4 linked regions of the Solanum lycopersicum genome follow. The protein of the gene in region 4 binds, or shares a complex with, the protein of the main gene of each other region. Links are inferred from orthologs where the notes say so. Each region holds a gene or a part of one and is shown on either strand. Other genes may lie near its edges.

The links.
Region 1: sister chromatid cohesion 1 protein 4 (region 4) and sister chromatid cohesion 1 protein 3 share a complex: the UniProt entries of both Arabidopsis thaliana proteins name them as parts of the cohesin complex. The link is inferred for Solanum lycopersicum from reciprocal best matches to the Arabidopsis thaliana genes SYN4 and SYN3.
Region 2: sister chromatid cohesion 1 protein 4 (region 4) and sister chromatid cohesion 1 protein 1 share a complex: the UniProt entries of both Arabidopsis thaliana proteins name them as parts of the cohesin complex. The link is inferred for Solanum lycopersicum from reciprocal best matches to the Arabidopsis thaliana genes SYN4 and SYN1.
Region 3: sister chromatid cohesion 1 protein 4 (region 4) and sister chromatid cohesion 1 protein 2 share a complex: the UniProt entries of both Arabidopsis thaliana proteins name them as parts of the cohesin complex. The link is inferred for Solanum lycopersicum from reciprocal best matches to the Arabidopsis thaliana genes SYN4 and SYN2.

What each region holds. Positions count from the first base shown.
Region 1 is NC_090800.1:77,427,135-77,435,299, reverse strand, and holds the start of sister chromatid cohesion 1 protein 3, read left to right. Parts: upstream 1-3,910; 5' UTR 3,911-4,137; coding exon 4,138-4,261; intron 4,262-6,180; coding exon 6,181-6,442; intron 6,443-6,515; coding exon 6,516-6,562; intron 6,563-6,655; coding exon 6,656-6,705; intron 6,706-6,798; coding exon 6,799-6,866; intron 6,867-6,946; coding exon 6,947-7,320; intron 7,321-7,418; coding exon 7,419-7,530; intron 7,531-7,613; coding exon 7,614-7,750; intron 7,751-7,824; coding exon 7,825-8,165. UniProt on the Arabidopsis thaliana protein: May be involved in sister chromatid cohesion during mitosis.
Region 2 is NC_090805.1:48,874,096-48,882,188, forward strand, and holds the start of sister chromatid cohesion 1 protein 1, read left to right. Parts: upstream 1-2,636; 5' UTR 2,637-3,068; coding exon 3,069-3,121; intron 3,122-3,692; coding exon 3,693-3,761; intron 3,762-3,849; coding exon 3,850-3,908; intron 3,909-3,983; coding exon 3,984-4,028; intron 4,029-4,152; coding exon 4,153-4,172; intron 4,173-4,263; coding exon 4,264-4,340; intron 4,341-4,716; coding exon 4,717-4,837; intron 4,838-5,243; coding exon 5,244-5,313; intron 5,314-5,461; coding exon 5,462-5,534; intron 5,535-5,722; coding exon 5,723-5,832; intron 5,833-6,186; coding exon 6,187-6,260; intron 6,261-6,346; coding exon 6,347-6,508; intron 6,509-6,702; coding exon 6,703-6,868; intron 6,869-6,945; coding exon 6,946-7,221; intron 7,222-7,312; coding exon 7,313-7,391; intron 7,392-7,595; coding exon 7,596-7,747; exon of another isoform or gene 7,748-7,758; intron 7,759-7,842; coding exon 7,843-7,927; intron 7,928-8,021; coding exon 8,022-8,093. Other genes in the region: serine carboxypeptidase-like, read left to right, coding at 1-81. UniProt on the Arabidopsis thaliana protein: Involved in chromosome condensation, pairing and segregation during meiosis. Responsible for cohesion between replicated sister chromatids.
Region 3 is NC_090801.1:70,964,078-70,971,884, forward strand, and holds the end of sister chromatid cohesion 1 protein 2, read right to left. Parts: intron 7,630-7,807; exon of another isoform or gene 7,345-7,629; intron 6,739-7,344; coding exon 6,453-6,738; intron 6,311-6,452; coding exon 6,273-6,310; intron 6,176-6,272; coding exon 6,138-6,175; intron 5,479-6,137; coding exon 5,420-5,478; intron 5,348-5,419; coding exon 4,791-5,347; intron 4,533-4,790; coding exon 4,421-4,532; intron 4,281-4,420; coding exon 4,144-4,280; intron 4,068-4,143; coding exon 3,613-4,067; intron 3,438-3,612; coding exon 3,401-3,437; intron 3,323-3,400; coding exon 3,301-3,322; exon of another isoform or gene 3,257-3,300; intron 3,161-3,256; coding exon 3,028-3,160; intron 2,673-3,027; coding exon 2,565-2,672; 3' UTR 2,309-2,564; downstream 1-2,308. Other genes in the region: CSN3 (COP9 signalosome complex subunit 3), read right to left, coding at 484-730, 823-938, 1,437-1,633. UniProt on the Arabidopsis thaliana protein: May be involved in sister chromatid cohesion during mitosis.
Region 4 is NC_090810.1:3,495,928-3,503,430, forward strand, and holds part of sister chromatid cohesion 1 protein 4, read right to left. Parts: intron 7,159-7,503; coding exon 7,071-7,158; intron 6,934-7,070; coding exon 5,976-6,933; intron 5,875-5,975; coding exon 5,449-5,874; intron 5,147-5,448; coding exon 5,002-5,146; intron 3,844-5,001; coding exon 3,707-3,843; intron 3,238-3,706; coding exon 2,105-3,237; intron 1,501-2,104; coding exon 1,467-1,500; intron 850-1,466; coding exon 735-849; intron 1-734. UniProt on the Arabidopsis thaliana protein: Involved in sister chromatid and centromere cohesion during mitosis.

The sequences.
Region 1 (8,165 bases), on a different chromosome or scaffold from region 4:
TTAGTCGACGGAGGCATTTTTTGGAATTAGATATTTAATTAAGGATGAAATCTGATTTGATTAGTAACTGTTAATGGAAGGCCATATGCTAAGGTGGAGAAAATTAATTTGGTTTTAAACGTTTAAATTAGTCATTCTATTAGTGATGAATTCTTATTTGGTTCTAACTAATTCTCCTTATTTAACTATAACAATTATTTATTATTTAAAAAGACGAGAGATAGACGAAGAAGAGAATTATAAAAATATTTATCCGGCCTTTTTCTTCGATAAATATTTGAAATTATTTTTTAACTTTGAATTTGAAATTGACTATATAAACAATGAAAAGAGTTAATTTACATGTGTTTATTATTTGTAGTATTTTATTTTTGGGGATTCAATATTAGCTAGTACTTTTTCCTCTCTATTTAGTTGTCAAAATTTAACACACCTATTAAAAAATAAATAATTGACCGTTATTAATTAATAGAGTCTATTCCAATACCTTAAAGTGTTATTGAAATTTGAAGGTGCATTTATTGTCTTAATTATATACCAATTACCGAAGTTATGATTTTTAATTTGCAAGTTAGACTCAAACTTTTTAAACGGTAATTATCCTTGTGTGTTTTTGAAAAAAAAAAATTCATTTGCAGAACATAATTTAATTCAAAATTAACTAGCTTAAATAAATCACATTTTAAGCTATTATGTTAAAAATATAATTTTGAATGTGACTTATTTATTTCAAATAAATTGTTTTTTCTAATTAATAACACAACAAACTTAACTTCAATCTTAAAAAAAGTCAAATAAATTTGTTGACAATCTTAAAATTCTTTGAATTTTCCATTAATCTAATTGAAGGTTTTCGATGAGGTGATCAATAAGATTAAATGCACCATTTCGACATAAACTTGAAGCCATAAATTTATTTATTTATTTATTTGCATTCTAACCTCATTACATTACACGCTGATAAGAAGATATTAATTTAAACATGGCTTTAAATATCAATAAGATGCTATGATCATAGTAAAAATAATAATGCTAATAGATACAAAATAAATTGATATTAATATAGGATTAATTATTTATATACATACATTTATTTTTCATAGTTTTCATTATTTTCTATCATTTTAAAATATTTTCAAAATTACTTATTTACAGTTTTTATTTCAATTTGAATTTCAAAAAAAATCTCTCTCTAGTCAATCAAAATTAAACCACTGAATTAGATAACTTTTATATTTTTCGTTGTCAATTGTTTTTTGTTTTTTACCCTTTTTTCTTGATACATATGATTCTCCATTGTAATTGATTCTACGGTCATCCTTGTTTTATGCAACGGATCATATTCATATTTAAGGTGTCGATATATAATACTAATGTTGAATCTTCAATTAGTTTTATCATGTTCAATATAAATATACTTGTAAATATATCATTTGATAAATGTACCATCAATCATATTCAAATTTACAAGGTTATATAGACAAAAACAAATAAGTTGTGTGTTATGTATCTGCACTCTTTGATATTTGCTAAGTAGGCATTTGGCCATGTGATACCATATTACGATATGATATCGTGAGATGAAATCAGCGTTCGGACATGCGATTTTACGCTGATTTCATCTCATGATTCCATATCATGAGATGTGATACTATATTCTCCAAAAATCGTGATATCAAATCATATGAGAATTCCATATCATGATTTGAGTTGTTTTAATATAAAAATTGATTCACAAGTTTATATTTTGTTAAAACAACCCCACATTTATATCTATTAACCATCTGTTTCATATGTAAAAAAAAAAAATTATAATCACATCATTACTTTTAAAAATTTATTATTCTCACTAACATATAGTCATTTTTTAACTCACATTTCACGATTGTTGAGCAATAAAATTTTGAAGAGCCCGTGAAAGGTGTTTCATTTTTACTCAAATATATTGATGAAATAATTACTTAAGTGGAGAACAAATAACTTTGTAATAATTTATTATACGATTTTATGATTTTTGTTTATTTGATAATATTGAATAAACAATTGAGGCTATTTTAATAGTTTTAAAACTTATAAGATTTTTATGTTTGTGAGAAAATATACAACACTGAAATCCAATATCGCATATCCAAATAAAACTTCAATTTCATCTCATGATTCCATGTCTTGATACCATGTCGCATGGTCAAATGGACCTCAGTGTTATCCAACTAAAATACAATGTATATGTACATATTACATATAACAATCTTGATATATAAACTCATATGACATGGAACAATCTGCAAACATTTAAAATAATTTAATGATACACGTATGAAATACAATTTTTTTATTTTCAAAGCCAGCACTTATCTAACAACAAACTAACACATATCGGCACAATTTCATAATTATCTTGCAGTAACATTTACTAGGTATATTCAAATTATCAAAGATACAACCATCCACAAAAATCTAATATATATATATATATATATATATATAAATTTAATATATATATATATACATATATGTATATGTCTGTATGTATGTATGTATATATGTATGGTCTATATTTATATATACAATATTCACAATAATGACCTGATTTGATACACTATACAAATCTGTGATACATACACCCGACATTCAAAACGTATGTGATTCGTCTCAATTATTAATTCATTTATTACATGTATCATATATAATATATCATGATGATATATTTTTACTCAAATCATATCCGAATACAAAGTAATGATCACATCATAATAACAGATACAAAATTATGATACATGCAGGTCATTTACCACTAATACATCAACAAATACGTAAATCATATATGACATCTTACAAATCACATTGATTATATCTCATATAAATTGTTACATAGATGATAGAACACACAATTATGTATTATAACTTTAATATTCCCACGTTCCTTTTTTTTCCTTCGTAGGAAGTAAAAAAATCCACTAATATTCACCTTTATTTGGGGAACTTTCGCAAAAAACTACTATAATAAACTTAATTATGTTGTCTGGTTTGCAGTCTATTACACAATGAGGGTTTACATAGTGCGCACAAAGTGCTCACACGAAGGCTAGAGCCTATGACAAAGGTTGCAACAATTGCGGGTTATCTTGGGGTTAAAAAAAAATAATTATGCTTCATAGCTATAATTTACATATTTACGAGTTGTAGCTATAAGATTGTATAATTTGGAGGTATGTTTTTTAAATCGAGCTATTTTTGTATAAATTCAAAATAACAAATTTATACAAATACAAACATTTGAACTTTAAACAAATATACAAATTATATTATATAAAAGTTATAAAAAAATTGATTTCATACAAACTCGAAACCCCACCCCATGTAACTATTACTGAATATTGGACACAAGTGATAATTAACTAGAACTAAAGTCATAATAACTAATTAACCAATATATATTTGTTTGATCACACAATTCTTTCTAATCTAAACAGTGTCATTTAATTAAGAGAAAATACATAAATTTACCCTCACATTTATATATTTTACTACCAAATTTATATATTTTATGGTGGCAACAATAGTGATTTCATGGTGGTGTTCATCAAAGAAGAAACAATTGTTATATGGAGGATTTTAGTTAAATTTTGCCATGACATTTGATATGGCAGCGATATAACACTGATGTGATCCAAGTGTGATACATTTTTGAGAGTAGTACTATACGTCTCATAGATAAAAAAGTTCATTATTTAGTAGCAGAGGTATATAATAATTTAAAAGTGTAACTTACTTTTCGAAACAAATTCAAATGTGAATTTATATCATTTTACCCTTTTAATTAACGCGATTAAACAGAAGTGGCATCTGCGTAAATAACCAAAACCAGTCGGCCCTTTTAAGGAAACACAAAGCGTCAAGTTATTTTATTGCCGCATTGGCGCCACTTTCTCCCGCGGTTTCTGTCTCAGAACCTCAAAAATTTCGAACATAAAACCCCAATTAACTATACACACAGAACTGAGGAGCCGAAGAGAATTAGGTCATTGGAGAATCCTCTGAACTGAAAAGGGTCGCCGCCGTTCGCCGCCAATCACCATTAATCGCCGCCAATCGCCATCAATCGCCGTTCTTGGTTGTTAATTTGTTGACGGAGAAATGTTTTATTCGCACACATTCTTGGCTCGGAAGGGTCCATTAGGGACTGTATGGTGCGCTGCACACTTGCAACACAAGTTGAAGAAGCCTCATTATACTTCTACTAACATTCCATCTACTGTTGGTAGGTTTTCTAATGTCTTTTTTTTTTCTTGAAAAAAAGGGTCCCTTTTTATTTGCCCCATTGCCAAGATTTATATTTTATTTCAATGGATTGCTTTTTTTTTTGTTTTGTTTCTTTCTTGGGATTTGAAAAAAGAAAAAAAATGATTTTGCTAATTTCGCTTGGTTGACATACGATTCTTGTTTTGCTGTTAGTTGGGGGTTTCGTGAGATAAAGATTTGCTCTTGTGAATCTTTTTAATTCAGCTTGGAAGTTTTTATATAAGTATTTGTACTTCAAGATTTTCTCTCTGTTATAGTAATGCTAGTTAAAGGGTTAGATTGAAATGTTTTTTTTTTTAATTCGAGTCATTGTTGCTGAGTGTTGATTGAATGTAATTTTATGTATCTAATGTTATTTTTGTTGCTTGATAATTAGTTTATTATTCAGTTCTTGTTTTGCTGATATCAATTAGGATCTTTCTGTGAGATGAAGATTTATTTTTTTACATTAAAGATTGCATTTTTGATTGAAGTATTGAAATTTGGTTTGATACGGAGGTTTTTATCATTTGCAAAGATGAATTGATTTCTAATTTAGTGGAGACATTTTCTTCTGTTCTAATCATGATAGTTGAACTCTTGGACTAGTCTGTGCTTATGTACAATGTATTGTCACCTGTGTTAGTTATTCATTGATCATTTTAAGGAGGTCAAAAAATGAGGAACTTTCATTCTTGAAATTTAAGCGGTAAAATTGTCTGAAGATATGCATGTCCCATACATATGATAATGATTGAATAGGGGGAAGGAGGACATGATGGGCTGTTTTTTAGCTGTGAAAAAAATTAATATATTGAAGGAGACTGGACTACTTTAACTCTAAGCATAAAAAATTGGAACTTGAACTTAGACACTACATCAACTCTTAAGTTCTTAGGTAAGAAGGAGAGAACAAATTTGTTCATCACACAAATAAAATAAGGTCCATTGGAATCTTTTGTATGATAAAAGTGAACTCTGAATCTTTCTCTTGAAAGAGATTAAAGATTTGAAGTTTAGATGATTCTACCCATGACTTTATTTGGGGAAAGGATCCAATTTGCTTCTAAATTATTTGAAATGTAACTGTGTTCTTTGTTTCGTGTTGGGCACAAAAATGCCTTTATCAATAACCGAATAGCTCAAAAATTGGCCCGTTTCCATTTCTCGATAAGTGATAGAATATAATAAAGATAAGATGGCATTTATAGGGAAGCTTTCAGGGTGTAACGGGAAGGGGTTGGACAAGTCAAGTACATAAGTATGTTCTTAGAATTTGAACATAATGCAAATAACAATACCAATCATTAAAACAATTTTTTGCTTGATATTGACTGAGCTATAGAGAAAGAAAGACGTAATTGTCCCATTTCATATAGTTTAGGGCTCAATTAGCCCTTTTTCCATTTGAGCTAAAGCAATAGTTAGTGGGAGGTTATTTTTGAGCTACTTGGCTAACTATGAGGACATTTTTTAGCTACTTGATTGACGATAAGGGTATTTTTGTGCCAAAACTAACGGAGGGCAAAGAGGATCCCCTTTTGAATCATTTAGGGGCAAGATGGGATTTTTCTTTACCTTTTTATTATGTCATATTATTTAGGAATGTTGCAGATTTATCTTATGCTGGACACTAAATCTTGAACATATTTAACCTTAAACTTTCAGTGGTACAAATGATGTGTTTTTTCTGGTATATGCCAAATGTACTTTGTTTTAATTAGTTAGTCTTTGATGCTTTCTTGGGTACTCCGTGGAACAATCAAGGTGCGTATAAGCCAGAAAGGATGTATAAGTTGCTCTACACAAGTACATAGCAGTAGCTTTGATATGCATATGATGTTTTTTTTTTTGCTGATGATACTGTTCCTTTTTTTTTTTTTTGAAATCTATTTGTAGAGCGCATCATGACTCCTGAAGTACCTATTGCACTGCGAACATCTGGCCATCTTCTACTTGGAGTTGTTCGGATATACTCGAAGCAGGTTGAATACTTTTCCGAGGACTGCAAAACACTACTAATGGGAGTTATAAAGGCCTTCTCGTCTACAAATGTCAATCTCCCAGAAGATGCCACTCATGCACCATACAGCTCCATCACTTTACCAGAAACATTTGAACTTGATGCCGTCGTTTTTGATGAAGATCTTGACCTGAATAGGTAAGTATCTGTAGTACTTTTTTAGTTGTCATCTTGAATCTGTAGTTAGTTATACGTGCATTTGGAATTCCAGGATTAAGGATACTCATGTTAAAAGTTACGAAGAGATAACTTTGGAAGGTATGTATCATGTTTACTTTAACTCTTCTTTTTTGTATCTTTTTCTGTTTCATTTTCAATTGAACTTTCATTTCTGAAATTTTCCATGTATAGATCAAGTTGTATCGCATGAAGATCAGTATGTTGCTATTTTCATTGATGAGGTGGGTAAATCTTTTGCTTCATAATTAGCAGCGAAGTTTCGATTTATTCACTTAAGTTGCAACACTAGTTTGACAAAGAGTTTGTTTTTACAGGACATAGTGAAGAGTTTGTCAAAATCAGGTGAAGTTTCTGGATTAGGTTCCATGCCTATGGAGATAGAGTATGCATCTTATTGACTATAGATGTGGATTGTTTCTGTTTATTGCCATGTTTGTAATAGACATTTCTTTGATGATGCAGTTCTGATCCTTCAAATTTAGATGAAACTGCTGCTCAACCCCAACATTCTTCCCCTAAGAATCAGGAAGGACTAAACAAAAGAACTGTTGGTGATGACATCCCTCAAGATTTTCCAGATATTGAACTCATGCGTGACGCTGTCCATGATCACAGTTTTGAGAATGTTCCCTTGTGGTCTGACCGAGGGAATGATGTGATGGAACCAGATAGAGTTCTGGAGGAACAGATCATGAGAGACAAGGAAACTGCAAGTCCAGTTGTGAAAGAGATATTGGCCCCCGGAGGACATTCAATCCCATCTCAACAACGACAAGAACCACCATCAACTACTTCAGCGGATGCTCATGAATTTGCTGATCCACAGATATCATTTGGTGGGTGCTTGCATGCAGGTTCTTATTATTAAACTGAAATTACATATTTGCCATGTTAATATTCTAACATGAAACTTCTTCTTTTCTTGGATATTCAGGGCATCAGTCACCTGATTTAGCACTTCTTTCAACACCTCCTCTCGAGGTGCCAAAAATAAGAAGAAAGCGAAAGCTACTCATCTATGATAAGGACATAGTATTGCCAAATAAGTATGTTAATATTTTATCATCATTAACTATATATTTTCTTCAACCATTGGTATTTTGACAATGTATCATGTTCAACTCTACAGTGAGATGAAAAGGAGACTAAAGGGCATCGGTATAAAATCACGCGAAAAGAAGAAGGTTCCTTGTTTTTCTTTGGACATCTGGAAACAAAACCAGAGACTAAGAAAAGATGGAATTTTCTTTGAGCCTTTAATTACTGGTGGGTGTCTCACAGCCATTATCTAATGAGTCTAATGTTCTTCACCTAAAAATTCAACTTCTGTTAATCTGTAGGATTATGCGATGATCTTTGCAATATCTACAAAAAAGACTTCATTTCCGCAAAAGTCCAGATGGCTTCCCCACAGGAAGCCCCTCCATCTGGGAATGATCTTCCGGTGGAAATTGAAAGATTACGTGATAACCAAGACCTTGCAAGCACTAGTTTGCTGTCTGAGATTTTGCCTTCACCAAATAGGCCTATTTCCTCTCCACAGATGTCTATGCCTTCCCCAAGTAGGCTCATTTCTTCTCCACTGATGTCCATGCCTTCCACAAGCAGAAGAGATGACTTCAGTCCTGCTACTACAACTTTAGGGACAGAATCTAGTCAGATAGGAAGAACCATAGATAGT
Region 2 (8,093 bases), on a different chromosome or scaffold from region 4:
CAGCCCAACGCAGCACTAGAAATGCTCCAGAGGTGGATGCAGAATAAATTGACTAAAGAAGATCATCTTGCTCCTATATGAAACAAGTTATAAATAGATTGATTACAAAAAATAAAATAAAAATACTAATGTAGTTTCATGTCTCAAGAAAATTAATTATAGTAATCATGTAAATTCACAGTTTCATGTTACTTTACAAATCTATCAATGAAATGATTTTTCTTCGAGGGAAATAACGTTCTGCAAAACCTACTTCCAACATGTTTTTTTTTTCCTGTATCAGCAAATTGAGGGTATATGATTCACAATTTAGAAACATGATTGAAAAAGATTGATTCAAAAAGAGATAAGCTTTACATATTTATTTGCATACTAGTTTCTGAGAACTATGTAATTTTTTTTAGATATGTTATAGTGACTAAAATTTCATGAAAATATATATGTAAATTGTAAATAAATAATAAAATGTAACAATTACAAAATATGAATAAAGACTTACGGCAATAAAATATTCATAGAAAACTAAATAACAAGTCTAATAGAGAAGGAAAAAAAGACAAAAGAAACAGATATAAGAAAAAATTCATTATAGACATTATTCTTATAAGACCGATTTACATATAGATGAAAAAACAAGTACAAAATTAATACATAACTCTCTGAGATCTTATTGACCCCTTTCATATCCTATCAAAATTCAAAAGTTTTCTTCATCTAGTTTAGCTATTAAATAAAAATAATAGCCTAATAATCTTGGTAGGGAGTTCATGAGATAAAGAAGTTGATTTTAGATACATAGAATAGAAGAATATCAAAAGAAAACTTAAAGTTTTAGTTTAAATATTTGAAGGTTCTGAATATGAAAAGATGAGAGTTATGGATTTAAGAGCATAAAAGAAAATCATAATAAATAAATGAAGAATGTGAAAAAGGAAATTATAAGTTAGCAAACCATGGAGAAAGAACAACCAAAGTTCTTATCATGTAATTAAGCATCAATGAATTTAAATTTGTGAAGCTAGAATCATTCATTAATGATAATCAAAAGGACAATATCAATATGTGTCTCCATTTTATATATTTGTACCCTTTAAATTATTAAATTTCGTTATTTATCATAAATGATAATACTTTATCCATATAAATTATATTATTTATGAGAAGAGTTAAGGAAAAAACTATGAGAAAAGGAAAAATATAGCAATTTCAGTAGAGACTATTTATTTAAAAAATAATTATAATTATTATATACATATAGATTATAGATGATAAATATTAATAAATTATATTTAATTAGGAATTAATCTTAAAAAGTTTAAAAGTTATTAATATTTTAATTAAGCTTATACAATCAAATATTTAAATATTTTATAACAATTTAATTTATAAAAAGAATTATACTGAAAATAATATAATAATATAATAAATAAATAATAATAATAATATTATTATTTTCCTTTATTTTTATGAAGGATGGCTTTTTCGTGCTTTAGACTTTACTAACATTTTCATAGTCATGTTTAATGGGTTCTTTTCTGGTTCAGTGTAATCACTTCTAACTTTTTATTTGTAACAATTAAATTAGGCCTAAGTCATCTGCAGCCCCTTAAAGTTGTCCACATAATTCACTTAGACACCTGAACTAGGACTTATACCTATTGAACACCTAAATTATCAAGAAATGTGCCTATTAAACACAAAACGCTGATGTGACAAAATAAGTGTATTTCACTGCTGCTGAGCGCGTGAATACTTTTTTTTAATTTTTTTTAAAAATATTAATACCTACTTTGTTGACGCTTGGCATGCATTGACTAAATATATATAAAAAAATAATTTAATTAAACATAAATCTTTTAAATCATTAAAAAAAAAAAACCCCACACTCATCTTCCTTCAACCCACCATTTAAACTACCATCCATTCAATTCCCCCAAAATCCCTTATTTTTCCATCCAAAAACAACATGAAAAAATCACTTCTCTTAGCAGCCTCTGTTTCTGCTGCCCACCGCCACCGTCACTTCTGTATCCGAAGTTCGAAGTTCGAATTTCTCTTCACAAGGACGATAATTTGAAGAAAAATGAAGATTGTTCAAAATCGGTGAAAGCATCAACCCACCATTTTAAAAACTTCAAATTTCTCTGTCTTTTGTTATGATTCATTTTTTTTTTCATTTTATGTAAATAAAGTACCTGTTGAATTTTCAAGAAGAAGAAAAAATGGACCATTTGAGAAATAGCATATAACGAAGAAAATGAAAGAGGACAACATTTGGTGGATGAATTCGGAATGAGATGGGGTTAGGCATTTTTTTTTGTTATGAAAAGAAATGGTGATTGTGGAACAACAGAGAAGAAGAAGAGAAGAAGATGAAGAAAAAAGGGTAGTAAGTTAGATGGGGTGGGGGTTAGGGTGGGGAGAAAGATTTTTTTTTTTATCAATTTAATTTTTTATATATTATTAAAGGAAGGAAAATATTCTTTATCTTTTAAAATTAAAATTATGGGCCCATATGCCACGTGTCGTAGTTCTATTCGTAATTTTTGTCAAAATAAGGAGTGTGCATTACACGCACAATATTTGTAAAGATAATTATTATTTTATGTTTGATAGGTAAATATTTATTAATATTAAAATGTCTAATTGATAAGAGTCTCAGTTGAGGTGTCTAAATGAATTATGCGGACAACTTTAAGGGCTATCGATGATTGGGCCATTAAATTAAGCCTCTTGAACAAGAATAGTAGGGGACACGTGGAAGCCATTCAGGAACGATAGCACAAAAATTCCATTCACTTGAGCTGTGACTTGAGTTCATCAAACATTCATTCTGCAATAGGGTGCGGTCCCCACAATATACTCTGCAAAATGCAATCGCAATCGCTTCTGTTATGGCGGGTATACTCTACAGTATATACAGACGCACAGGCACAAAACACACACACTTTCACCTTTCTCACTTTGCATATGATCTCCCTCTCTCTCTCCAACTATATATACAAAACCTTCTAGCTTCAAGTACTCTGCAAAATCAGTGCTGAAATTTCCTTCTTCACGACGGCAATATGTTCTACTCTCATCAGCTTCTTGCTCGCAAAGCTCCGCTCGGCCAAATATGGTGAAAATTGTCGATTACTACTTGTCATTTCAATTTTTTCCTTTCGAAATTCGTTATGTTCATATGCATACGCTACATTTTTGGAGTTTCTGATTTTTTACTTGCATATGTTGTATATCCTGAGCTAGATTGTCGTTCTTCTTTGGTCGCTGGTTAATGATATTCAGTAGCTTCTTCAACCTATTTCTCGTAATCTGAAGTTATGAGTTATATGTTAAGTTGTCACTGTTAAAATTGGATCTGTTTCTGTTCAGAAAATGCTTGAATTCAAAATTGTTTTATGAAGGTATTGATCCAGTTTACTACGGCTTTTGTTTTGATTTTCTATTCTAAATTTGTTTAATACATATAGATAAGTTGCATGTTTTGTGTTTCTGCGTTTTTTAACTTTCATATATCGCAATCCCTGTAGTGGATCCTCTTTTCGTCATTTGCTTTCTGTGTCTAATGTTCTGTATTCGTTGAAGTTACTTCATAGGATTTTGTGTATATGTTAAGTTCTCATATTTCAATTTGGCTACGAAGAATGCTTAAATTGAAATTGTTTATGATCTTTCTCTTTGCTGTGAAGGATGGCGGCCACTCTGCACTCAAAACTCAATAGGAAAAAGCTTAGTAAACTCAATATTATTAACATCTGGTGAGGCGTTTTCTTCTACTACTACGTTGAAATGCCTTAATTCCTTGTTGATTTTGAGTATTCGTCTTCTGCAATTTCTTTTGTCAAGTGAACAAATCTTAAATCCATCAGTCCCGATGGCTCTGAGGCTTTCTGGAATTCTCATGGGTATGCTTCGAAAACCACTGACTGTCCGCAATTGCTGCTTTTGATTTAGATATCTAATCGACAGTTCTGTTTCAGGTGGAGTAGTCATTGTTTACGAACACAAAGTGAAACTCCTATACGGTATGAATTGCCATGATGACTTCATCATTTCAATTTGAATTTCACGTTAATTCTTTGAATTCTACTCCTACTTTACCCTTCCTTATTTCTTCATTTTTTTTTCTTTATGTTTTCTTTAATGCAGAGGATGTGACTCGTCTCATGGTAGTAACATTTGTCTTCGATCCTAATCAAATTAATCTCTTTCTTTGCTCTGTTTTCATTAAATTCCGCATTTATGATTGGGTACTTTCAGGTGCAAATCAATGAAGCTTGGAAAGTCAAAGCAGCTACCGATCCTACGTTACTTCCCAAGGGTAAATCGCAAGCCAAGTGAGTAACTCATCTCCAATTCGACGTCACAGTATTTTGCCGAGAAGCAGAGATTGTAAGGCCGACTTTTAACAACTTCTAATACTTTCAGTTACCTCAATAGTGCTTCAGTAAATTAACAACTAAAGTATGACTGCCACCAATTAGTTGAAATGATTAACTCAATTTATTATGATTTCTTTCACTCAATGTTTGGGTCAGTTTCATCAATGAGTTATTTAAGGCCTGCTTATGCTGTGAGTCCTTTATACCTAAGGTCTTTGTACTTAAAAATACCTAGTTTAGCGATGAATTGGTTGTAAACATTAAATTCTGATTCCTGTGATTGTTTTTCCTAATGTTGATGAATTTTCATTCCTCATTTCAATTCCTGTAGGTATGCAGCTATTACTCTGCCAGAGAATCGGGAGGAAGAACTCCCAGAGATTGAACAGACATTACGGAATCCAGACACAGTCACAATGATGGATTTCGAACAAACCTCCTATTTCACGATGGTACATTATGGAAAGCTCTGTCACCTCCTCAATCCACGAAATAACTTCAAAAGCAGAAACAAAAATTGTTAGGAAAATTAGGAATTTGTTCGAACTGATCTAATTAAAACTATTGAGCTTGCTTTAGATTGTTAAATAAGTCATATTTCATTATTCAGCAAGTCTGCAAGCTCAACAATAGAAAGTTAACAATGATAAAGTTGTTTGATTTCCCTTCGCCTTTTGGTTACTCTATATGTTTTGTAGCTTGTTCTATGTTATTTCCACTCTTGGGTTTTCTCAGTGTTCATGACCTTGTTGAGTAGGCAATCTTATCTGATACCACTTGGATAAGAGCAGGAAATCTTAGTGAAAATCAGATCACTACATGAGAGTGCAGCTAAACTTGCGGATGTTCAATGTGCAGAGACTAGATAATGCTGATCTCTATGATAAACCCAATGCACAGGAGGAACCTGCTAAGGACTTGCATCAAGGTACACCTAGATCCCACAATCAGCATAGATTATGCTACTTTCACCATCACAATAGAATATATAACTATATCCTAGTCAATGCTACTTTGTTTTCCAGTTTTGTCTTGTTGTGCCCATCTCTAAAACAATCCTGAAACCCTTGTTGCAGTTGATCCAGATAATATCACCCTCGCTGAACGCTTTGAATCCCATCATACAGATATGTTCAATCATTTTGAGAGGTATCACGATGAACAGTTTGTAGGCTCTGTATTTCTAAGTTTGTACGATCAGTTCGCATAAAAACTTCACGTGAACCAAACTATCCACCATTAAATCACAGGAGGCTAATTAGCCCCATTTTTAATTAACTGCAAAGCTTTCCTTCTATTATCCCCCTATTAATTTTTAAGCATGAATTGTTCTGCAGGTTTGATATTGAAGGGGATGAAGAAACACAAATGAATTATACCCAGCCAGAGGATGCTCAAATCCCAAGTACTCCTGTGCAATCTCCACCTCGAGAACAAGCCCATCAACGTAAGAACGTGTTACTATCTTCTACTTTAGATAAATGAAGTTTTTTGAGATGTAAATAGTAGATGGAGTTACGATATTTCATTATTTCACTTGGTTTTCTGATAGAGACATAATGGCAATAAACCCTTCCTCTCAAATAGGAACATGAATGCAAGTCGTACTTACCTACTATGAGATCAGTTAAAATACTTTGTAGCTACCTGGCTGCTTACCATTAAACTTCCGGTTTACATATGAAGTTCCTTCAAGCACAGAACTCTTTTGGATTGAGTTGAGCTTGTAAAAGTCTTTAGATTTCCTTAGGTAATTAATTATTTCTGAAAATTGGTTGAATGGAGCGAAACATTATTGCAGCTGATGAGATCCCTGACAGACATCCAGAGGACCAAGTGAAGCAACAATCTGATGAAGTTAAAGAAGCTTTTGAGGTAGAAACTCCACAAGCAACCAAGCTAGAAAATAATGTAAAGAAAAACTGTCAGCACTAATGTTACGTCTTGACATGATATTGTAGCAGCGGCAGGATCAACAAAGGCCAAAGCCAGCTCGACGAAGAACAAGAAAGGCCACAAGTCTTGCAATTGATCATGAGCAAACTATTATTTCTGGTGACATATATCAATCCTGGCTTCAGAGTTCTTCAGATATTGCATCAAGAAAAAGGAAAAAGAGAAAGGTACTTCCATACCTCCCAATCTAGATCTTCCCCATTTCAATTTTTCCATTGTGTGCACCGTATAACCTTTGATATCAATGGCTAGTCTTTGTGTATCCCAAGAATAGCATGTGCATCTCTCTCTGGAAGGTAACCTTAACTAAACTAACATGCAGCATCATTTATTAGTAACCTTAAGTTTCTATTCTGTGCAGACTTTGAGTGTCTTACCTTCTATGAAGATAGCCAGAATGATGGAAATGCCTCCTATTGCACTACTAGAAGGATTGTTCACAAATGGAAATAAGGAAGTTCACTATCCAGCACCACTCCTAAAATTATGGATGAGGAATACCCAACCTCCGCATGATTCACCTTCCGGTCTGGTTTTTCATCCATGATATTAGACTCTTAGTTGCCAAAACTATAAACAGGTGGTAATTACATTTGACTTGCAGGAAAAACCTCTCCACCCTTTCCTCCTGAACCATCCTATACATCTCCAGGTGAAAGGATGGGTAATTTGGAACCGCCTTTCGAATATTTCCAAGGCGGTGTAGGCTCCCCAGCAGTAGGAATCTCTATAGAAAAACAAAGGGCAAATCTCAACAATAACAAGATTCCACCTGAAATTCTCATGGAGGACCTCAGAACCAATCTTACAAATATGGGACTGCATCCAACAGAGACTAATGGAGTGAAAGAGACTGATCACATGGCCACACCTGGCTCTGGTATATCGATTTTTTTATGAATTTCCCAATCTCCATGATTTGTTCGGCAATCTGATATGGTGGTATAACTAACATTTTTGTGAATCTATAGGTGATGAGCCTAGATCCATTCCAAGCTCAGGATCTGGTCATGGTTTACTATCACAGAATTCTGTAACCGATTCAAGTCGGTTAGTACTACTAGTAGATATATGTTGAGGGATTTGTCTAAAGATGAACCACTTGAATCATACAGACAATGACAGAAGGAAATAATGAATATCATGGATTTCAGCACCATAGGGAACTTTAAAACTTTGCTTCTTTTTAAAATTATGAAGGTCTCACCATATAGCAGCATCTGGTTACATTGATCAAAATTGTTAACTCTTCAGGTCCAACAAGAAAAGACCCCATTCTTCATTGAAGCACAGTGGCAATGGTCTTCAACCAGTAGCAGAAGAGAACCCATGGCACGACCCCACTCTAAATTTCAAGTTGACTAGATTATCTGAACTATCTGAAAATGGTTTTACACAAGACAACGGTTCGTGAATAGTCAGTAACCTTCCCATTTTAGTTCTGGTCATTTTCTTTAATGTGGTTTAGTTTGTTATGAACCTCCCTTCACTATTTTGGCAGAGATATTGATGGAAACCGGACCAACACAAACCCAACATCCATTCATTACTCAACCTCTTGACATGATGACTGACTCTATCAGGATGTAAATCCTTTTCCATTTGTTCCTAAAACTTCTCCAGCTTCACTGTATATCATCTGATTAATTGATTTTTCACCTGATAAACTGATGTCTACAGACAGCTAAAGAGTCATTTTGACACTCCCGGATCGGCAGAAGCAGAATGTTTGAATGAACTAACTCTTGGAAT
Region 3 (7,807 bases), on a different chromosome or scaffold from region 4:
ATGTCAACAAGTATAAGACACAAATCCAGAAAAATCCAGAAAGCGATAGAAAGATTATATCAGTGACTTTTTTAATTAAGAAAATATTGAATTACTCAATCTCATTCTAAATTGATACATCACTTGTGATTCACATTGCTGTTAAGAACTTTGTCTTTAGGTTGGAGAACTAAACAATATCAAAGGTAAGAAAGGCAGACGTAGATAATTGTATACCAATACCATGGGTTTTTGAACAAAATTAATTCTTTCACCAGATAACTATACAAGCAAATACAAATATTCATAGGCGAGTAAAGTTCCTCTTTCCTATAAAAATTAGAAAACACACTGATAGGAAAGCATGATTTAATGAATTGCCATAAAAAATATTCCAATTTTTTTTTTTAAAAGTCACAGAGAAATTTAAACAAGGAACGGAACAAGGGAACGACACCAACACAACTGAAATAACTTCTAAGCAGAAAGTCTGAAACAACTAACCCGTAGTAACAATAGAGAAAAAACTCCCGTGGCTGATCAATCTCATATATGTCATCCTCCAGCACAGAGAAGCCAGTTTTGTAGCACTTTGCTAATAGACAAAGAAGAAGAAAATCGGCATGCAATGTTGTTAATTGCTCAGGGGAGGATTGCAGTTTACGAATAGCAGTCAGCATTGGAGCCACACCACGAATCGGAGTTTCCAGTCCGAAAACATGATCCTTGAACTTTTTACAAACAGAAATGACTGCAACCACAAATTGAAGACGTGCCTCAATATAAGTTAGACCAGAAACAAGAATATTCACAAAAGCTATTCCAGAAACCAGAGAAAATTACACTTATTGGGCGCCAACTGGATTTGCTCTGTAGAACATGAATTGATAAATCTAGCGACAGAAACAAGCAGTTCACTAACATGCTCCTTTGCAACTGGGAATGAGATGCATGCCTCCCTGTTAGTTAACAAACACAATTATATGATTAATACACACTAGACAGAGTACAAAAGACAACGCGCACTTGTTACACAAATACTGGTCTTTAATTCAGTGGATGGTTCAATTCTGCATTATTTTTATAGATTATGTAATCAATCAATCAACTATGCCTCAATCCTACATGTATTGGTGTTGACCATAACAATCCTCTTTGTCAATTAGCTTTTCTTTTTTCATAATCACCGTGGTGTCCACCAAGCTAATTCCACGCGTACCAATACCAGGTGTCCAACAAAGTTAGGGCAGATGGGAAAAAAACACCTGCATTGGGATTTTAACATGAAACCTCATCGTCCATAGCCCACGATGACTAAGCCACAGCCCAGGGTGTTTTAATCAATATATCTATATATATAACCTAACAATGGCTAATTTAAACAAATAATAATCTTCAGAATAGAAACCCTAGGTTTAGGTTATAAGAATAAGAGATGAGGATGAAAAGGAACTTACAGAATATAGAGAAAACCTAGGGAGTGAATAGAAGGATCGAGTTCAGCGAGAGAAGAAAGCAAGCGAGAGAAGTCGGAATGGAGTAGCTCTTCCGATTGTTTGAGAAAGTTGTGAAGCTGAGTTATGTCTGATGAATTGCTCGATAGCCCTTGGATTTGAGCAACCACTGATTCCATTGAATTCATGTTCAGATTCATCTCTCTCGCCCAATCAACACACTTATGAGTTTCAGCAGATTCACGTCTAAGAGACGAGGCTTCAACTGGACTGGGTAATAAATAAAAAGAAATAATTGGGACTTCTTTTATGTCCAGTTTTATTTCTCTTATATAAATTAAAAATAAAGAGCGATTGGGTTTTCATCTATTTTTATTAAATTTAAATTTATATAAAGAGATTACAAAAACTTCTTTTTAAAAAAGAAATTATTAAACATTTTAAAAATACCTAAAAATTATTTTAATTTTTTTTCTTCCATTACATATAAAATTGGAGGAATAAATTATTTCGAATTTGACAATCAAATAATACATCAAAATTTTTATGCATAAACTAATTTTTATTCTATGAGTACTTAAAGACACGAAAGACCTCTTTGTGTCCTACTCCTACCATGTCTTTTTTTTTTTTTTTTTTCGCGATAAAAGCTTTTTAAAACTCACAAATACAAATGTAACATGATATTTATACGACATAAGTCACAACTATTATTGCTCATTGTTGATTAAAACGCCTATGAATTGACAACATTGTAGAGCAATATTTTTCTATAACCACTTCCAGATATATATTGGGTATACAATTTTCTCATAAAAAGCCTTTTCGTGTATTTGATGTTAAAGAAAATTGGAGTAATAGCTTTTCACAAGTGGTTAAATTGGGCACCAGTAGTAGTTATAAACCAAAACATTGACAATAAATTCAACTAATTCCTGATAGAAGACATAATAGTTAACAATAACCTAACTTGCCTTCATGTTAAGGAGGAAGAGCAATAGCTAGCAAAGAAAAGCGCTCTTCCACTCATATATACTACCAAACATATATAAAAGCATATATGTCATGTGATTGTTTCCTCTGGCTACTATTTACCAACACAGCTCTCTTTGTGAACATATATATATAGATTCAGGACTCAGCTTCAAAGGTCTGCTTTAGTCTTGGGAGTTTTTGCAAAAGAATGTCACTGTAGGCATCATCCTGCCGCACATCTATACAGCCTCCTGATTTCAGAACCTGCGTGGAAAATAAGCATTGTAAATAATTCACAATGTATATATCTTACGTTGGATTATATTTACGTAAAACCAGAGACAAATGCGTAAAATAAATTCATGTGTCCGTCCATTATAACCAATGTTTATAGGCCAAGAAACACGGGGGCATTTAACAACAATAGAACCAAAGAAATTCCTTTTTAAGCACCACCATCTAGAGCACATCCTGGATGCTTGACAGAAGGGAAACAAGGGACAAAAACTCCTGCTGAAAGCGCTACTCAAAATATGTATCAAATAATTCCGTTCATCCACAAGTTCAATTTGGCAGACCTAAAATTACCAGAAAGATGAAAGGAACCTAAAAACAATACCAGTATCTCGTAGAACACCCTTGCACTGTCTCCCTTTGTTTTCCCCTTCATAAGCAAGGACAAGTTGACAACTTCTACCTCCTCCTTCCCCTTCCGAGCAAGGAAGTTTTCAAACAGGAATTTTGCGACCTTTCTGCATGCAAAAAGCCAAAAATTGGATCACCGCCAAAAACAGAAGAAATGAATTTTCACAAATTTCTGAGAGTCATAACCAAAAGATGCCACAGACAAGGGGATGCAAGAATTGAAACTGAGATCCCTTATTCATCATACCCTGTTCTCAGGGAATATTTGCCTGCAACCAAGACAACAACTTATGAGAATGGCAACTCAATTGAAATAATATTGCACCACTAAAACAGTACTTCCTTACATTTTCCTGAGGTATCCCCTTCAAATGAATTGATCTCCTGAGGAAAGAGCGCATTTGTTGCAGTTAGCACTTATTAGCATTGCAATAACAGATACAGACAATAGAACTTTTTTATTTCCAAAAAAAGTTAATAATCATCACAATACACTTCAGTAGCTGAAAGCAATTTCCTTTACTTATGTAAGCAATCAGACTAGTCAATCGTGTCATACCTCGTCCATTAAATTCATTTCAAATTCTACATCCTCCATGGAAAGTGCTTCTTTCTCTGTGATTTCAGCTGAACTTGCTGGTTCTATGTGTGATTTAGAAGTTCCTTGCGTATCATGAAATCTCAGCGAACTTGAGCCAGTGACAGGTGTTGTAGGAGCAATAGGTGTTTGTTCTCCATCATATCTGAGAGTATTAGGAGATTCAGGTACACCCACATGCAGAGATGCCGCAGGAGCATCAGGTATTTGTTCTCCACATCTGAGGGTACCAGGAGATTCAGGTAAATACTCATGCATAGATGTAGCAGAAGCAATAGGTATTTGTTCCCCAGATCTGAGTTTATAAGGAGAGTCTGGCATGTCCTCACGCAGAGGAATTTCTACTGTTTCTGCAGGCCCATGCTGTGCTGATCTAATTTTGCTAATTGCTGATGCAATATCAATCGAAAGACTACCTGCATTGCCACAGTTGGTTAGTTAAATTACCTAAAACACGGAAATGGCAGTGGCAGTGTTTGAACCTTTACTCACAAGGAATAAGAGGCTCCTCAAAACTCTGAGGAAGTGAGGAAATTTTATGTACTTTCCATGCAAAATAACTGGAATGAGGGGATTTCCTTCTCTTGCAAACTAAGTCATTTGCATCGCCAATCCAGTGCTTGAATACCCTGCATGTTAGGGTTGTGTCACATCAATCTCTTCTAACTATGCGATGAACTTAACTGCACTAACTAAAGAAGGTTACAACAAGAAGATCCTGCATACGGATATCTTAGTGCAATAGGTTGAATAAAGAAAAGGATCGTACTCATTTGGGATCACAATAGATTCATCAAATATGCACTTCCGCTTCCTTGAAATCCGCCTACGCTCCTTCTTAGCTGGGGTGCGAATAGATATAAAATCCGGTGATGTAGATCCTGAATTAGAAGAAAGTGATGTTGGTTAAAACAACAAGCATTTTAGAACATGATTTGCTTGGGCATCTGAAGGGACAAATTAGATTGTGTCCAACAAGCAAGCAAAAAGGGTGAGAAGGGGCACACATATTCCTTATTTTTTCTAGGTGAAGGGGAAAAAGAGGGGTGGCAGGTGCAGCTTATTCCATTTCCGGTCGGATTCAGCTGTTCAACTAAAAGATATGTGAAAGAACAAGGTAAACCAGATAAAGGAATCACCTGCGATCTTGGTCTCTGGGGATACATCAATACAGAGGGACACTGATCGATCAACTTTAGTCCGATCCTTCCCTTTCCTCGAGGAAGATGCTTCAACATTTTTCTTTTGCTCAAAACCACAGTTTTCCACAAGAGATGATTCACCAAGGACTGCTGGTTGTTCATCATCTACATTCACTCCTACATCAGGGTGTTTTAAGAGCTCACGAGTATGCTGATGAATTTTCTCAGATTGTTGATCGGTGTTGATTTCCAATGTAGCTTCTGTGATAATCATCGGTTCTGCGTGCTTTTCCAAAGATGACCTCTTTTCATAAAGATGCTCCTCGTTTACTAAGTTCCCAGCACTCGACTCTTTCATTTGCTCATCACCAGTCTGGTGATCAGCTTTCCTATCAAAGATCATCTGAATTTCAATGTCCCCAAAGGTCATTGGTTCAAAGCGCTCTTCCAAGGAGAATCTAGTCTCATTAAGGTTCCACATAGCTTCCACGTGGCTTGACCCAACTGATGGGTTGAAGTCCAAATCTTTGTCCATCAGGTGAGGTGAATATATGCTATAACATGAAATGTTAAATTCTTAGCACTAGCACTAGATCTAATTAAAGAGGTGCGAGATCAGTGCATACTCTCTAACTGGAGTGTGATTTGTGGACTTCAACTCTGAATGAGAGACACCTTCCTCATACTGAAAAAAGCAGCTTATATGTCATGTATGCAAGAATATCCACAGAAAACAAAGCTTGAAGTTTTTCATGCAGCAGTACCAGATTGAGAGATAGAGACGGGAACACCCCAACCCCAACACCCACACAAAATGAAAGTAGTAGTTATGCGAAATTCCAACCAACCCATGCCATCATCAGGAAAAAAACAAATGAAGGTGACTGCTTACGGCTCTAAGCTAATTCTTATTCAAGTATCATCAGAAACTTGAACCAGTTTGATCCATCAAATAACTTCTTCAAATTAAACACAGCACCACTAACACTGTCCAGTACTTGTTCAAAGAAAAGCAGTTACGTGAATTCGTGAATCCATGATGTATCTTGACAAGTACAAATTCCACTAACCACTTTGCAGATAATAATTTAAAATCAATCAACTGATTCGATGTGCTACACCAATCCTAAGGTTCTAACAACATATAGCAAAGAGTTTAACATAAACTATGAGATATTCAGGGAAAACAGTAGTATATCTTGCTAAGCAGTGATAGTGGTATTAAGTGAACACAAAGCAGAAAGTGATTTATGCTGCCTTCTTTTGTTGGAAAAGTTTCAAAGGCCGAGACATGCTGTTAACAAAACAAACCAAAGAAATGATTATACTTCATAAAATGACTACCTTGCAAGATGAGCCAAAAACTAAATTTTCCTGAGCATCTGAAACAAAAAGCAGAAACTCTCTTTTAAAAAAAGTAAGTGACATAAAGCCGAAAAAAGTAACCATGAATTAAAAGACAACAGAAATGTACTGTACCGGAAAGCGTGATTTCTTCACGGGATGCGAAATGACTACTTCAAAACAGTTTGTTGCAAACCAAGATTGAAATAATTAAACCCCAAACCGACAATCAGAAAAAACACAAGGAGAAAGAGAAAGGAAAACATACAAATTAACATGGAAAACCACGTCATTCATGGAAAGTATTTATTTTACCTGTTTGCGTCTTGATCTTCCAAGACTTCCAGATCAAAAGTATCCAGTTCAAATTTCTTTGGTCGGGTGATAGAGTGGACAGGAGCATGCATACCCGCGATCCTTACAACTGATGGTTTACTAGTTGGTCTATTGCGAGTTGAAAAATCAGCAAGGTTAACAAGAACATTATTACAGTCTTTGAAAAGATACTCCACTTTTTTCGAATATATTCTAACCACACCCAGGAGCAGGTGACCTAAAATTCTGTATGTGACCACAGGAGCTTCATCATGCAGAATTTTCTCTGAGCAAAGGAAAAACCAGTAAAGCAAATCTAAATCACTCAAGAAATGATTAAAATTCTTAATGCTACTTTTATGTGCATCGTGCTGCAATTAAAAAAACAGAATCAAACAGTGTCAAGAATCTGAAATAAAAAAGATCCCAAGACAATAATCACATTCATTACGTATATACACAGCAATTCATAAACATGTGAACGTAATCAAGATTGCAAACAACAACAACATGCCCGATGTAATTCCACAAGTGGCGTCTGCAAAGGATGGTGCATATGCATCCTTACCCCTACCTTACGGAGGCAGAGAGGTTTCCGATAACCCCGCCAAAAACAGTTACCTAGATCATCCAGGGAATTCACAGAGACAGCATTTAACACCACCTATAATCACCCAAGTTTGCAGCAAAGGTTCACAATCCAACATAAAGCCAGAAACCATTTTCCGTGGCTCGGAAGACATGCTAATTTCCAAGTAATTAATATTTTACACTGAGTCTTGTGAATTCCATGTTACAACTATAGCATTTGTTACAGCTAACACTAGAAGTTGCAAACTAAGTGAAATTTCCAAAAAAAAAAAAATGTCAGTCACACATGAACCTATTTCACCTTCATGACCAAAACCCCGATTCTATTCTGTGATCAAATCACATTCTTCCATTCATTAGTTTACCCACGAGGTTCAACGAGAAGCTGAGCACCACAATATTCTTTCTTCTCATGGGGGGCATTCTACTAGGAAAGAAGATTCCTATAAGTGGTAGTACTTAATTGGGGCATTGTGGTAAAATTATTTGCCGAGAGAGGTCTCTAATGACCCAACGACTTTCCGATGTGATTGACAAGCAGTGGTTTACGAAAAATCTAGTTTAAAAATGTATGGTTTTAGCACTCAATTTGAGCACAACTGTTCAGCCATCCAACTATATGTGAAAAATAGAAGGCTATAGTTGATGTAGGGATGACATCTAACACAATGGAGACAAAAGGTAACTAGTAGCTGCAATTTGGGACAAAAATAAACTATATGAACTGTGCATGCGAGAGCTATGTAAAGAAATCCGCCAAACTC
Region 4 (7,503 bases):
CATTTCCACGGGTTAAAGAACACATGGTTAACCAGATAGAAACTACTGCTTCAGTTCCTATATTCAGCCCAAGTCGGACTTTTTCCTTCTGCTACTTGTCAATCCAAAGATTAGGACTAGGTTTTTGAACTGATGGAATTTCCCAAATGGTAATGAAACTTGCCATTCTGTTTAGTTGGCTGAATCAGACTCTGGGCCTGCCCTTTTGCTATCTTTCTCATTATGCTGGTTCAACTTCAACCACTGTTCATGCAACCACGCATTAACAATGGACTCTCTTAATATGCAAAAGCTGTCGGTCAGCAGAAAAGATTATCTGAACCTCTCTGCAATCACTAAAGAAGAGGGGTAGCTGAATCACAGGAAGGCCAAGGAAGATAATGTCTATAGTCGTCGGGAAAAAAAGACGAGATGCACCATTTAAATATAAATGAACAATCAAAGAATTTGGTCAAAGTACATAGCGAGAAGCAGGAATCTAAAGAGGTCCTCTTCCCAAAACATAATTCTATTGTGAAATTTGAGCCTAGTCTGTTATTCTGACAATTTTGTATTTTTACCCTCGTTAGATTAAATGACAGAAACCAATGTATAAACCACCCTGTAAAAGCACTGAACCACAGGAAAAAAGTAGACATGCAAGGAGGGCAAACTTGTCTAAAAATGACACTCAGCTTACGCAAGCCTAGACTTATAACAGTAGAATAATAGGAAATGAAGGACAAGCAGCACACCTTGTACGAGAGGACCATCCAATGTTCTCAGTGATACGGGTAACATCAGCAGCTGGAACATAATCATCAGCTGCTTCAGCTTCTTCATCATCATCGTCATCGAAGTTCAGAAACCCTAGATACCAAAAATAATGTTACACCAAAGCTACAAGACTAGGAGAAATTTTACAAAAACTTCCAAAGAAACTACAGTACCAATGTTGCCACGCTGAAATGGTTTGACCATTCTGTAATAGAGGTAATAGTAATCTTAGATGAAATATGTCTCGAAATATGGAGTTAAATCTCTCATATCCCACAAATACAATACACTGTAAATTGCTCTTATAAAAGCATTCCGGGCCAAGACACTACTCTTCACACATTTCCTCAAACTCTTCTACTTGTGTGTCTGATTTCTTCACACATCAAATCAGACAGGTACAAGGAGAAAGGTCATAATTTACAGCATTTGTCCATGACTAAGAAACCTTGTGAAACCAATTTTCAAACTATAACATCAAACTGAATGCAGATTTTTCAACCCATTATCAAATTTAATTAACAAAGAAAAATCCAGATGCAAGGTTCTGAAACAAGCAAGGACAGACAATCCATCTTAATCAAACATGCCTAATGTTACAGCAAATTTGAAAATATTCTCGTCCAATTCGACTTTGAAATTATTTGTTTTTTCTTTCTTTTAAGGCAATAAAGTTTTCAAGTTTTGGTTGCAGATGAGGGAAAATAAACCTGTATCATTTCCAGCGGCTGAATAATGTAGATCCTGCCAAAAAAAAATGAGGAAAGCTCATATCAGCAGAGCACATAACAAAGTAAATCTCTTATCAAAGCAAAGGACCGTTATTTCAAGCCCATTTTAACAAAAGCAATCAACTGATAAAGAATCTAGTAGTTTGGGGGGAAGAACAGTGCAAGACAGAAGGTAACCTCCAGTATACATGTTCATCTACATCAAGTCAAGATTTGTGCTCGTACATATTGCTGCTTGCTAGATTTTTTTAGATTTTTAGATTATTCAATCAGGTCTTACTACGTTGAGACCTGACACTATTGGTAACAATATAGAGGTAATCTTTTTCTTTTCTTTCTTCCCCTTCCGCTGAGTTCCAAAGAACCACACATACTGAACAAAGAGCAACAGGTCAAGAAGCAACAAGGAAGCAACCTAGTCAAGACCAGGAGAAGATATAGGTACTTCCAACTTTGATAAAAGAGAGGTACATAATTATTGATTGTCTGCAATTTCTATCCAACGTGTCACAAAAAGAAAAATAAGATTGTCATGTATAATACATGAAAGAGAGAGAGAGAGAGAGAGTACTGAAACTCCAGAAGACTAGCACTCGAAACTAAGCTAGCACACTTACATTTAGGTCACCCAGATTGCCATTCGTAAGATCTGTGCCCATCATATTGTAAGAGAAATTTTCTTGTTTACAGGGATAGTCTCCGGCTCCTATGGGATCATCCAGCAAATGCATATTCGTTTCATCATATGAAGCATCTGTTTTGGGTTGTTCAGTGCCCATAATGTTATCAGCAAAGCTCTGGTTGACATCATCTGCCACTATATCTTCTACATTAGTTGCAATTTCAACTGTAGCACTGTCTTGGGCAGCCTCCAATAGAACTGCATCTTCTACCATATTCTCAGTTTCAGTTTCAGCTTCAGAAATAAAGTAGTTGCTTTCTGGCCAGTCACTACTAACTACAAGGTTTTCATCATTCAAATTTTCCAGAGACTTATCAGCTTGAGCAGCCGGTGCACGATTGGGAGATCCATATGATACTTCTGGTAAAATAAAATCAGCTTCCCTTCCAGACTCATTAAATGGATCTGTCAGAGGTAGACCTGCCGCGATATCACCATCGCCACCTAATCCACCACTTTTAGGACACGCCAATGATTCTTTGGCGGCAGTGGCAGTATCTGCTGCATCAGCACCTGAAAGGTAAGTTACCTGAGATCCTATTTCTGCTGTATTATCTGAAGGTTCAAGATGAAAACCATTGGCCGCTGATACATCAGTGACAGTATCTGGCCGCAATTGAGAGGCGTCACTATTTAAACATTGGTCATGCTCACCAACTTCCTTGTTCTCAGTTGGAATAGTAGCCTCAACAGCTCCTAACATGCTATCATCTCTAGCTACAAACCGTTCATCGCTTCCTTCCTTTCCACTTTCTCTTTCAACATGTGATTCATTGCACACCATCGCTTGTTGTTCCTCCAAATTTGTGATGGGGTTTTCAGCATACTCAGCAGTTAGCTGTTGACGTTGTTCCTCCAAATTCGAGATGGGTTTTTCAGCACACTCAACACTTGGCTGTTGACGTTGTTCCTCCAAATTTGAGATGGAATTTTCAGCATACTCAGCAGTTATCTGGGGTTCGACCGCCTTCTCAGCATGAGAACAGCTAACATCACTAGAAGAAGAGACTTTGACTGTACTCAAGTCAAATGTTTGCTTATGTAAAGAAGCCAATTCCACCGACAAACCTGAATCAGTATCAAATTGAGTCAATATGAGAAGATAGCAAAGGTCATTGGTGCTATGCAGCACTAAGAACAAAGTTAAGAGGCAGGCAGTAAATGTGCCTTCTCCTGTCATGAAACAATTAGCAAAAGAATTTTTAAAAACTTAAAAGCATGTGCTTGTATTCTTAGGGTGTCATCAGAACAAACTATATGACAGTACTTGGCATAGAGTCTGAGTAAATATATTTCCCAAACACATCAGCTTAGTAATTCCAAGGCATACATTCAAGTAGAGAGACATTAAGCTAATCAATAAAACAAATATCCAATACACTTGAAGTGTAGCTAGCTCATATTAGCACTTATTATGGATTAAACATAGACAAAAATGTGATCACCTTTTATAATATCCACAACAAAAACAATTGCATGATTCAACAAGAAGAAGACAATCAAATAGCAAAAATGTAGACTTGCATCCTGAACCCACCAGTTAATACTGCTGCTCTGAAAATTTCATCTTCCAACAACTGTTTCTGGATTGCTGAGATTTCAGCATGTGTGCAAGGAGCTTTCTTCCTTACGCGACGTATGTCCTCAGCATGTATCAACTGTTGTCTTATCATACTATCACAAATTCAAATATGTTTTGTCAGTTATTCAAAGAATGAGTTGAGAAAGCTATTTAAACACATAAAACGATTTTTCAGATTATCAGGAAAAAACAGTTCACTGGGAAATAAGGCAGAATGACAAGACAAAAACTAACTATTTGGGAAAGGGAACCTAGCTGAATCGGCAATAATTCAGACCCGCATCAGTTCACTATTGCATGTCAACAAGAAGCGGAAACAAACAAAATACAGTCAGTTCTCTCTCTTTCTCTCTTTTATTTCGAACTATTCCTCAGTGCACCTACATCCCCCCTGTATTACAGGCACAGGATAACTCTGCCCACCAATACATAGGCATAGATGGGAAGAGATCAATTAGCTTTTGGCCTCTGCTGGAATTCGAAACCTGGTATCCCATGGTCTTTTTCCCAGTTTCATCGACGGCTAAACCACCACTTTGGTTGCACAAACAGAAATGATAGAAAAATGAGTTGAGAGGTATCTGTGATCCATCCAAGAACCAACTTATTTTTTAGAGGATCTGTTCACGTTCATTACGAAGTCTAAAGGTTGTTTATCAGTCAACAATATCATATTTTCCAACACCTTTGATCAAGTATAAGTGAGAACCAGAGTGGCCAGACTAATAATCATGATAACAGTAGTCAGAATGCTGAAGCATTAAGGAATAAAGTATCCAAAATAACAAGGGTTGTGTTCAAATTTGACTGGAAAAAAGAAAAAGCAACAAGACAAGGCAACCAGCAAAAATTTGCAACATCAAAACAAAGCCTATAAAGAGACAGGCTTTGACTATTGGATCAGAGTAAGACCAGCACCTAAACTCTGGCACACAATAAGTAATTCAGTAGAGCAAAAGCAGCTAATTCAAGAATATAGTGCACATTGTATTTAAAATAGACAAAAGACACAGTGCCAAGAAAATGCTAGTCTCAATTCTCAGTCAGACTGCTGATATGGATGCATTTATGATTTTATACTCTGCAATAGATTGTTAAAGCCCAAGATACATTTTTTATGCCTTTCATGTGGTTTAATCTGCTATATTTTGACAACAAGAAATGAAATATAAATCATCCGGCTTGGTGATCTAAACTAGTAAAAAGACGCATTTACATGAACAGAAAGAAAAAATTACGACAGAACATACTCTCCGTGCAAGACCATGATATCATCCATAAGAACCTTTCTTTTACTGGCACTCATCCGAACAGCAGATCGGGCACGCTTGCTAGATGTAATCTCAGAAGGTCGAGGAGTAGCCTTAAGCTTCAGCGCTGAAGATCTTCTTCCAACTGAAATAAGAATGAAGATGTTACATATATAAGGTCTAAACTCAAGAAAAATGTTAATTTCCCCTCACCCCTGTTATGTAATACTTAACTGAGTTCAAAGGTTTACAAGGTTACTTTTACAGACATATATTATCACATTATACTAGGCAGAATTGTGGCGAATAATTAGGAAAGTGGAAATGTCTCACGTTAGTCAGAAAAGAGGATATATGTCATATAATAAAGAAGAAAGAATTTTTCATCAAGGTAAAAAGGGTCACCCTTCCCTTCTATGAAGTGCAAAAGGAGAACTCAAAAAGTACCAAGTATAGAAGAGAGCAAATCATCATCATCGGGAATAAATCCTCCAGACTTTTTGGAACGGACCATCCTTGAAGATTCAGCTGAGTTGAGACTCTGCTCAGTTAGTGTGCTCTCAGTGTAACTGCGCTTCTTTCCTGAAATGAATTTGTCACCAGCCTCCACCTCATTGAACCCTGCCAAGTAATCCGGCGTAGCCTCTGGGAAAATACTCCGAGGTAAATCAACAAGCCCTCTTGACATTGATAGAATTTTTTCAGGAGCTGGCAAGGCAGAGGCAGCTGAACTGCTCATAAATTCCATGTGGTGATCTTCTGGAACAACATTATCTGCTCGATCAGTTGATTTGTCAGTATCTTTCCGAATGTCTTCAAGTGGAACAGGTTCTTTGACGAGACTTTCTTTTGAGATTTGTTCTGAATAACCTGCTGGCATGTTTCAACTTGAAGTGTTAAGAGTACATTCACAACAATATTACAACATAGCACACAGATTTATCCCAACAAACCTAAAACTCTAGCACAAATACCTGAAGCATGTAATGCGCCCTCCTTAGAAGTTTCTGGCTGGTGGAAACCAGAAAAATTAGATGGTAGCTCGTTATTAACAGCATGCTCACAACTAGACTTCGATGCATCAAGTTGAGCAGAAGCATTACATCGACTCAGAATATGAACCTGGGCACCAGTGTCTTCATCAAAAATACTTTGTTCCAGACAATCAGCAGTCTTTGGCGTTTCAAAGCAAGTTATATCTTGGGATTCACCAGCATCCATGTTTTCTGGAATTGCAATGTTATTTGAGACTGCCTTAGGTGATCTCGGATTACTCGGTGAAATATCTTCACGAACTGGCTGGCAGATGCTACTTAAAGCAGAAACATCATAGTTAACTTTTGTGGAACTAATTCCATTTGGAAGTGGAGGCTTGTCGGGGAAGTCACCAGGGGTAGATACGTCAACCTTGTCCATGTCAGAAAGCATACACTGGAAGCTCCTCTCGTTTGTTTGACCATCAGATGCAGCAACAATCTCATCCGCACATTCTAGTACAGATGATTTTGCATTAGCCTGATGAACAGCAGCAGAGGATGGTCCAGATGCTACAGTGGGATCACCAAGTGACACAAGATCCACTGCAACTCCACTTGGAGGCAGCTGACCATCTGGCAAGAGTTGTTTGTCACACTTGTTACCTAAATGGTAACCATTCTCCTCAGCAGCCCCAGAGTGAACAGTATCAGCATTCGAGACATCAGTTAATGCCTGATTTTCTAGAAGCACACTTCCGTTTTTCACGTTATTTTCACAAGAGAGATTCACTGAATTTGCTTTTACGGCATATTCCGTCAAATGACGATCTTCCAGACCTAGATGGTCCTCACATGCTGATATTTCCTGAATGTTAGACAAATTTGGTTCTTCCACTAACCCAGGAGTACATGGAGCATGATCCATGAAATCAGCATCTCCATCAACTCCATCCAACTGCATGAAAGAAAAGACCTTGAATCATTCTAGCATAAGAATGTTTAAGGTATATAAAACAAGTTGTCTGGCACACAACAATAAATAGTCAATAAACAGCTACTTTGTAAGGAATAAAGGACAGATCGACTAGTTACCATGCTCTCGGAATTTGCAACCATCTCTTCATGGTGTTCTTCTTGTTTGATTGGTGTCATTGGTTCAACAGATGCTTGAGGATCCGCACTGGAATCAGCAAAGGTGTCAGATATTCATATCATTAAACTATGCAGTAGTATAGAATTTCAGTCTGATGGATTGACAATCAAAACACCTATTATAGATATTTGACCTGCCCCAACACAATCCCAAGATCAAGAGACTCAAAGAAAACGAATATCAAGGTGCAATTGTTTGACTCATTTCACACCATGAATCCAACCTGACTTATTAGTACTGCCATTCACTAGCCTATTTAGCATTAGATCTCCAACATAACTCAGTAACCCACCCATACAAAGCATAAGGTGCATAACATTAACGGAAAAGTCAGAAATTAAAAAAGCCATCACTTAAATGAATATGTATATA